Linked DNA regions of Ovis aries. The protein of the gene in region 2 purifies or fractionates together with the protein of the main gene of each other region. This does not show direct contact. Links are inferred from orthologs where the notes say so. Each region holds a gene or a part of one and is shown on either strand. Other genes may lie near its edges. The genes, in order: RNF7 and ASB2.

The links.
Region 1: the proteins of ASB2 (region 2) and RNF7 purify together in Homo sapiens (affinity purification with western blotting; 3 studies listed by BioGRID and IntAct, with this or other methods). This does not show direct contact. The link is inferred for Ovis aries from reciprocal best matches to the Homo sapiens genes ASB2 and RNF7.

What each region holds. Positions count from the first base shown.
Region 1 is NC_056054.1:247,817,289-247,821,821, forward strand, and holds the start of RNF7 (RING-box protein 2), read right to left. Parts: upstream 2,995-4,533; 5' UTR 2,966-2,994; coding exon 2,791-2,965; intron 1-2,790. UniProt on the Homo sapiens protein: Catalytic component of multiple cullin-5-RING E3 ubiquitin-protein ligase complexes (ECS complexes), which mediate the ubiquitination and subsequent proteasomal degradation of target proteins.
Region 2 is NC_056071.1:56,361,846-56,366,403, forward strand, and holds the start of ASB2 (ankyrin repeat and SOCS box protein 2), read right to left. Parts: upstream 3,073-4,558; 5' UTR 2,947-3,072; intron 1-2,946. UniProt on the Homo sapiens protein: Substrate-recognition component of a SCF-like ECS (Elongin-Cullin-SOCS-box protein) E3 ubiquitin-protein ligase complex which mediates the ubiquitination and subsequent proteasomal degradation of target proteins.

The DNA.
Region 1 (4,533 bases), on a different chromosome or scaffold from region 2:
AACGGTAAAGTATTTTAATAAATTACCTGGGAGTAAACATGAGGAATGGGAACCAAAAGGATATACTAGAACTTTTCAAAATTCAGTCTGTACTACCATTTGCTTGAAGAACGTAATATAGAATATTTTAGGAACCAAAGAAATGGACTCATTCACTAGCTGAAAGCAGTCAAAGTTGGGTGAAAGGAAGTTCAAACTAACAGAAAAAAAAAAAAGATTTTAATATAAATTAGAGAAAAATTCTATAAAAATAGAAACAGGATAGAGTTGAAGCCTACTTCTTTTCTTACACTGGATTATGCTCAGGCATTTGTTTGCTCCTCTCTGCATGCTCTTACCCTTAAAAAAAACACACTACCCTGGCCTCTTCAGTGTGGATTAAAAACCACCACTGCCTCCTGAGGCTTTCTTCAATTTCACAGTTACTGAGTACCTACCCTGTGCAAAGAGTAATGCCTGGGGGCCACCAAAATGACCAAGTCTGGGTCCCTGGTCTCACCAGTAAATGGGAAAGTGGATAGGTAAACAGTTAAATATCGCAAGGATCATGATATAAGGGGGAAGACATGCCTCTGGTTCTGTGCAGTCACAGAAAGTTCAGGATCCCAACTGTCTCTTTTACAAGTTAGGAAAACAAGGCTCCAGAAGGTTATGTCAAACGTCCAAGTTAACAGATAGCTGTGGAAGGTTACTCTGGCTCTTTATCCCTTGACAATACAAGCAAACCTCGTCCCCTCTTCCTCACCGGTGCTTGCTAGCAGCTCCTTTCCCAATAAAGTCGGCAGAGTGGAAACCAAGGAAGAGTGTCTTAACCACATTAGAATGGGCTGACTGGCAATTCTTAGATCAAGAAGTTATAACAAATCATTTAGGTGTATGAGATGAATTCAAATATCAAGGACACAGGATTAAGTGGGCTTTTTATAGAATCTAGAAGTCTCTGAATCATGCCTACGGCTTTTATTTAGATTCACTATCAACAACTGATCTGAACAGATAAAAATTCCTAAAGTTTCATATAAAAGAAAACATTTTCCTTTGATGATGTTCTTAATATCTAAAACAGCGCATTTCTAAGGAGTACAGTAACACCTTTTAGAATGATGCCAGAAAACACACTTCCTTCTGCTGTCACCTGACCACCAAATAGATTTTAACACCTCATAAACACAATACAGAGGTCTAGCCCAGAATACTTTTCTGAACCCAAAGTACAGCTGTTGTAAATATGAAACATTAATCCACAGTAGCAAATACTTGTTATAATTAGAAAGTTAATGTGAGAAGTGAGTCATTTATAGCCCATACTTTGACTTACCTTAAATATCCCAGTAAAGTTTATTTCTTGCAAACTTTCAACCATTATTTTATATTTTGCATTTCTACCTACTAATTTAAAATTTTTCTTTGGGGAGAAAAATAAGATGCTCTTTTAGGAAAATTATTTTAAACTAAAAAAGAAAAAAAATCCCACAAACTGGAAGTTATGATTCTAGCTTTCAAGAAAGGGTTAGGGCAAGGGGGCTGTATTGCAGGCCCATAAACTAAGTACCTAAAAACCCGATACACAAAATAAGTCGATCACATCTGAAATCTAGTTCTTTTAAAAAGTAAAAAAATATTTGAATCCCATAGTTGCAAATTCTCTTTAAAACAAATTCCTACGAATAAAAAACATAAGTGCATACTACAGAGAGAGTAAATTGAGAAATCTCTTGTTTCTGGTAGGTCTAAATTTTCAATGCTCAAGAAGGGAAAGCATCTTTTAAGTTACTTTCTCCAACTGTCTCATTTTTCAGTGCAAGACACAAAGTTTTCAAACTACAGAAGCCTCAGTTTTCTCCAATTACCTTCAAGAAATGACATTTAAGACACTCTTAAATGCTGTAGTTTTAAATGCCCTATTTAAAAATATAACGTGCATTTAAACAGCAACTCTTTTTTAAGGTCGTCTAAGATCTTAAAACAGAGACCATATAAAACACAACGAGATGAAGCTGCTCTGAAAGGCTTCACGTGGTCCAATATTTTCATTAAAAATATCATAGAAAGAAGTAACAAGTTTGCAAAAGAGGGCTTTCCAGAAAGGCCAGACTTGAGGGCACTACCCTTCTCCAAGAAATTGCATGCTAGGATGGGGAGTGGCCAGTAAAGAGATGAAGCTTCATGTCTCTGAATAAAAGGGTTTACATTCTTCTAGTTCAAGCCAACCGAGTGCGATCTGACCAATCTTGAATCATCCAGGTTTAAAAGCCAGCAGAACAGTAGCCAATCTAGAAAGGGGACGGCTAGGAACACTCTTCTTCCCTGCGCCTCTCCAGAGCACGACTAGCGGCCGTTTGGGGGGAAAATGACTCCAGAGCATCACTTTGGTGTGTGACCAGAACCATCCGACTGACCCGCTGACTCAGGGCCTTGACCTTGACCTCTGTGTGGTTTGCTTTCGGAAAAGGGTGCGGTCGCTGGCCACACAAACCGAAGTGGTTCCTCCCAGCTCCCGTCAAATCACCTACTTTTATTGTCGTGATCACACCGATCACTACTGGAAATGACCTTGTTTAACTGTCCTGCCTGCTACCCCCCTATTCCCCCAGAATACCCGTCCCCGGCACAAGTCGCCTGCTGAACGACCAGCTCGGGCGTGGCCCGCGGTCTCCTGGGGCCGGGGCAGGGCGATCCCGCCCCTACTCCTCCCGGAACGGTCTCTCCAAGGCTTGGTCCTTCCCCCCACGCCCGAAGCCGGGCCTGCGGAGGCCGCAGCACAGCCGGGGCCTCGCCTGCTGCGCTTACCCATCACCTGGACCCTGCAGATGGCGCACGTATCGCACTCCACGTCCCAGCTCCACATGGCCACCGCGTTCCACTTCTTGAGAGAGAACATTTTGTCACCGCCCGACTTGGATCCTGCGCTCCCCGAGTGAGAGGACAGGGCACAGGGTTCCTCACCGTCTTCCACGTCGGCCATAGCGGCGGCGCGGAGCCGGCGACGGAGACGTTGGGTCGTGGGAGGCGGGCGGCTATGGCGGCTCAGTGGGGCCGTCCGACGGGCCACAGCGCCGCCCGCAGGCCACGGGCCGCCGCGGGGGTCTAGGACCGTGGGGCGCCCGTGATTGGCTGGCGCGGCCCAGTGACGTCACCGTACGCCGGCACCAGCGGCTTCCCGGTGTCCTAGTTCCCGGTACTCGCGTCCCCAACGCCCGGCCAGCTCAGCGGGGTGAGGGACCCCGGACCGACCCTGCGCGGGGGAGACACGTGTCCTGCTTTATGTCTTCATGACACCGCTTTTAGACGTTGTCTTGTTGATATATTCGTCCTTCTCAAATGTAAACGCCCTGGGGGGAGCGGGGACTATTTCTTTTTTCTTTTTGGGTGGGGGGACTATTTCTTGATCATCTCCTTCGTTAAGAAATGCTGTCTCGGGAGGGACAGTTATATGTTGAGTGAATGAATGACGAGCTAGGAATCTGGTTCAACAGTTCTCAAATATTTTGGTCTTGGGACCCCTTTACACTTAAAAATTACTTAAGGACATTTAAGAACTTTTGTTTGTATAGGATGGATGTGTACATATACACGCTTATACATATGTATTTCCTTTTTAAGAAAACGGGGGAAATGTGAATATATTAATTCACTTCAAAACAGTAAGAAATCCATTACAAGTTATCCTTAGAATACCAATATTGTACACTCACAAGAGAGAATGAAGAGAAATAGCTATGAGTGCTGTGCTGTGCTTCGTCGCTCAGTCGTGTCCGACTGTGCAGATCCCATGGACTGTATGTAGCCCGCCAGGCTTCTCTGTCCATAGGATTTTCCAGGCAAGAATACTGGAGTGGGTAGCCATTCCCTTCCCCAGGGGATCTTCCCAACCCAGGAATTCAACCGGGGTCTCCTGCATTACAGGCGGATTGTTTACCAGCTGAGCTACCTGGGAAGCTCAGAGCTATGAATACTGTTATGTAAATATGTAAATAGTTTTGACCTTGTTGGTCCCCTGAAAGACTTCCAGGAACCCTGGAGACCACACTCTAAGAAACTTAAATCTAGTTTAACTTTTTATGTGTAGGAATACTGAAGTCCCCAAAAGTAATTTATAGTAATTCTGCTATATTTATAAAAGTAATTTATAGTAATTCAGAAAAGTAATTCTGCTATTCTGAGAAGGTGACAGTGGAAACTAAGGTTCTTCTGTTACTAGCCCAGGGTCATGTTATGTTTTCCCAAGCAAAGCAGATAACATCTTCTTTTAAAAGATACCGAAGCTGAGGCATGGAGACCGGAAGATGCTTGGTCACACTACCACCTAGTGGTGGCCACCTGCTGTGTCAGGATTAGGACTCAGAGCTTCGCACCTCTTTTTATTTTAATGATGAGGGTCTCATCATTCCCTCATCTCCTGGTGTCAGGCCTGGTGCCCCTGGGTCTAGGCTAACCAAACTTCAGAACTCTGGCAGAGGAGTCAAGGAGGCATTAAATGTGTAACGATACAAATATGGACACAGGGTCACATTTGGCCACATGTGCTGTTTG
Region 2 (4,558 bases):
ATGCCCCTCCTGGCCCACCTCCTCACTTTTTCCCACAGCAGCAGCTTGGCACATACAGGTCTGGCACGTACGGAGTACTCGAGACCCCCGCCCCGGTTTCTGCCCAGGGCTCAGCGAATGCTAGGCTTTGCCTTGTGCCAGAAGCCTGGGCTGGGGATGAGAAGGGGCCGGGCTCCCCCGTGTAGGTCTGAGCCTCTGATCACTGTTGCCCCAGCCCTCACAGGCCAAGTATGGCCTTGCATGCTAAGTTGCTTCAGTCTTGTCCTACTCTTCGCGACCCTATGGAGTATAGCCCACCAGGCTCCTCTGTCCACGGAATTCTCCAGGCAGCGGGTTGCCAAGCCCTCTTTCAGGGGATCTTCCCCACCCAGGGATCGAACCCGCGTCTCATGTCTCCTGCATTGGTGGGCAGGTTCTTTACCACTAGCGCCATCCAGGAAGCCCAAGTATGGCCTTGCCCAGCCCTATTCTGGGCACCCGGAGAACATGGACTCTTTCTCATCTTGACCCATGGGTAGTAGAATGTTCTGGAAGCTCTAACTCCAGGCTCCAGAAGAGAAAGTCTCAGGTGGTGCAGGGGTGCTCTCCCAGAGCTCTCTCTCTCCTCACCCAGCCTAACCACATACAGGGCTGGCTGGAAATCTTTTATTCTAGATCACTCCAAAATCAGCTAGGATCCTTCTCCTTTTTGTTTCTGTTTGTTTGCTTGCTCTTGTTCTCCTGCCTTTGCTTAAATCTTTTTCTTCTCCTCCCTCTACTTTTCCTGTCTTTTCTACCCTTCTCTTCTGTCTCCTTTTCTTTAAACAATGCAGGCAGGTTAGGAATCACCTGACTTCCGTATGGAAAATCCCATGAACAGAGGAACCTGGGGGGCTATAGCGTCCATAGGGTCATGAAGAGTCAGACATGACTGAGCGACTGAGCATGAGTTCAGTGCTACCATCACCTCCCCACAACGTTTTCCTCGGCCACAAAGCTCTTAACAATTCATTTATACTCCCAAGCATTAATTGGTTCAAAAGAAGGTGCTGAGGATGAGAAGTAAAGATATAAACAAGTCCTGTGACAGCTGCCCCCACCAGGAAGCCTGACCCTCTTCTGCTCAGCAGTGGAAGGACAGTGGGCGGGTCCAGGGATATTTTTGTGCCTCCTTTGGGAAGACTGTTTTGGATTCAGCTTGTTCACATTGTACAGCACCTTATGATGGTTCATTGGTGCCAGGACGGGTCTGTTTACTGCAGTGCTGGTTCCCTGGGGGACCTCAGAGACCATGGCTTAGGCTGTGGGCACTGGAGGCCCATCCGCTAAGAGGCCAGCATTTGAGTCCCATCTCCAACACCTCCTAGCTCTCTGGCTTTAGATGAGACCCTTAACCTCTCGGGACCTCAGTTTCCACCTTTGGGAAATGGGAGTGACCATCATTTCTAATTCGTGCTGCCCAGAAGAGTCAGTGAGAGGAACTAGCACAAGCGCTGGGCCAGCACCTGGCTCACGGTGAATGCTCAGTGAAGGCTCAGGTACGAGTGCTCTTATTCATTGTCAGGTCACCAGGGGTGGATCACACATGGTCCCCACCCCAAGGAGGAGGAAGAAGGTGATGCCCTCCCCTCCTACCAGGCCCTCGTGGGCTGGACTGTTTGTGCAAGAATGGATGATGCAACCTGGAAGGCTGCCAGGTGGTGGCAGCCGCCAGTCCTGGAGGGGGCTGTGCTGTAAACAGGCCTGCCATCAGCTCTCGGGACCTGTCCAACTGTTGCAGAAGTGACTGGAGTCTGCCCCTGGCTGCCCCACTGTGCTCTGCCCTGGGCCTCAGACCGCAGAGGTCAGGGGCTGTGGCTGGTGCGCTGGCCCCGCTGGCTCTGCCTGGGTGCTTGTGAACTCCCTCAACGGCTGCCTCGTGCATAAACTTTCCCGTTGTCGAGGCAAGCTCTTCTATCCTGTGCTGGGGGCTCAACTTCTGACCTGACTCAGGCCTTAATGACTTACCTAAGGGTCTCTGCCTCCCTGCCTCCTCGTTCCCCTGGCTTTGCAGGGAGCTGCCTGAAGTCAGATCCTCCCCACTGCTCCTCTGCTCAAAAATGATCAGAATGTGTTCCATCCTCTTGCCTGGCCTGGTGGCAGCAGTATCTCCTACGCCTGCCCCCATTCCTGACTTCCCCTTCTAGCATCACCACTACTTCTCACCTCCTGACCCTTGGCTATAACCACACGGCTCTCCCTACTATCTCCGCAGACCCACCCCAGCTTGTCTGCCTTTGCCCGAGCAGATCCTCCAGCTGGAGGTCCCTGTCCCACCCACCCTCCGTGCATCTGAGACATCCATCCATCTTTTCAAGGGCCAGCACTTCCTTGAATGCGTCCTCGTGTTTACACACACACCCTTTTTCATTCTTTACGTGGTATCTTAGTTTTGTTTGCAGATTCTATTTCCTTTCCTAAATGCCAAGTTATTGCAAATACAGCTCGTGGCATCCAAGGTTGCTATCACCACCACCACTCCCCCACACACATACACACAATCCTGCCCATACATAGATGTTCCATAGACACTCCATAAATGGCACATGCAATTAATGCCCCCGTGCATGAAAATATCTCCTCCTTCAACCTAAAAGCATTTCTGAAAGTCATTTGTCTGATACAGACATTGCCCAAGGCCTATAGAACCAACAATAGCATCATTGATAACTCCTTTTGCATTGCCATTTTTAGAAGTACACAGTAGAATGATACTCTGAGCAAGAATCCTCTGGAAGATTGGACAAGTACATGCAAACGGCTGATTCTCTGTGCCCCCAATCCAAAATAAAAGTCACCAGCCTGCTTTAATAACTCAAGAGAATAGGAGAAAGAGGGAGACACACAAACATACTTTGACACCACAGCGGTTAAGTCCCAGCCCGACAAGCAGTCTTTCTGCATAAGAAAGTTGAAAGCATGCATTACCTGTTAGGCTCTGAAACAAGGGTAAAATTCAAGGGTAAGAAAAAGGATTTTTCCTGAGAGTGTCTTAATTCAGAACGTGCTCCCTGAGTTTGCCTTCAGCCCTGGCCCTGGGCTTCTGACTGCTCTGCCAGGCAGTTCTGAAACGCTCTCCTTTGAAGCAGGGAGTTTATTTCGGGCCCATCGCATGACCAATGATGGCAAGCCAAACTATAAGATGTTATGAATCTCAGATTTCCTGTTTAAAGATTGCACCGAGGAAGCCACGATCCTGGTCTCCTCCAGGCCGCGTCAATTACGGACTTGACTTCGGAGAGCATCTCGGAGCTTTGGCTCTCCCGTGACGTCATCACTTCTGATCCTTGACACGGAGGCCATATATGGGTATGTTTCTGGAACTCCCCAGGAGGGAGCGAGAGAGGAGAGAGATGCAGAGAGTAAGACACAGAGCTGGGAGAGAAAGCTGGAAGCAAGAGCAAGGAGGGAATTGTGGGAGAGAGGAGAAGGGAAGAGAAGAGAGAGAAAAGCAGAAAAGCGGGAAGAAAGGATGGAGAGAAGAGAGGAGGAAGGAGGGGAGTCGGGGAGGCTGGGAAGGAAGAGGGGACGGAGGGAGACTGAGAGCAGGCTGGAAGGCAGGGAGGAAGAAGGGCTGAGCAAGAGGGAAGCGAGGATGCGCGGTTCACTGCTGGGGCCTTTGTGAGTAGCAGGTGGCAGAGCCTGATATTTGGGGGTCCCAGGGTGGGAATCCAGCTGCTGGAGTCTGTGGGGTGGGCAGGGGAACAGATGAACAAATAAGCCTGTGGGCAAGCCCCGGGCAGCGGCAGTGGAGCCCTTCCTTCAGGCCCAGGGAAGAAATTCTCTGCTTCTGGACTCGATGGAGTAGCCCAAAATGTTAGCCTCGGGTGGCAAAGACTGCACACATACGGGCACACGCCCTGAGCATGCACGATGCCAGGCACCCACATGCCCATGTCTGCGCTCAGATCTCAGGTTACGGAGTCGGGGAAGCTGGAAATGTCACTTGGTCCACTCCTCTAAATGGAAAATAATTTCCATTTCAGAGATCACTTCCCCTTGCAGGATATTGGACTTGCGACCCCACAGAGTGGCTCACTTTGCATATTCCGTCTGGAAATTAGTCTTAGTGAGTTCAGGGAGCCCTGTAGTCGGGTCAGTGTTCTAGAGGCTGACCTGGGGCTGAGGACAGGAGGGGATGATGAGTCCCAGGCTGTCTCCCAGCTACTAGCCTCACCCTCACTTGGGACAGTCCCTCCAGGCCACTGTGGCTGATGACCCCGAAAGGTCAGTTCACACATAGCACCCCTAGGCCATGTGCCATGATAGGGATGCAAGGGGAGAGGGGGCTGTCCAGGGCTTTTTACTGTTTGGGGATTTTTCTTGGCAGGAAGAAGTTCTAGCAGGTTCCATGGAGTGTGTCCTTGGAGTCCTACTTCTTCCTTGGGATCCCTGCCAGATTAAGGGCACAGATACCACTGCTTTCTATGTCACAGATCCCAGATCTGGCCTGCCTGGGAGGACTGGGCTGTGGGCAGGGACAGGGCCCCTTCTCAGGTGGCCCTCTGTCTTGCCCCTCCCTCCTAGTCCAGACAAACCT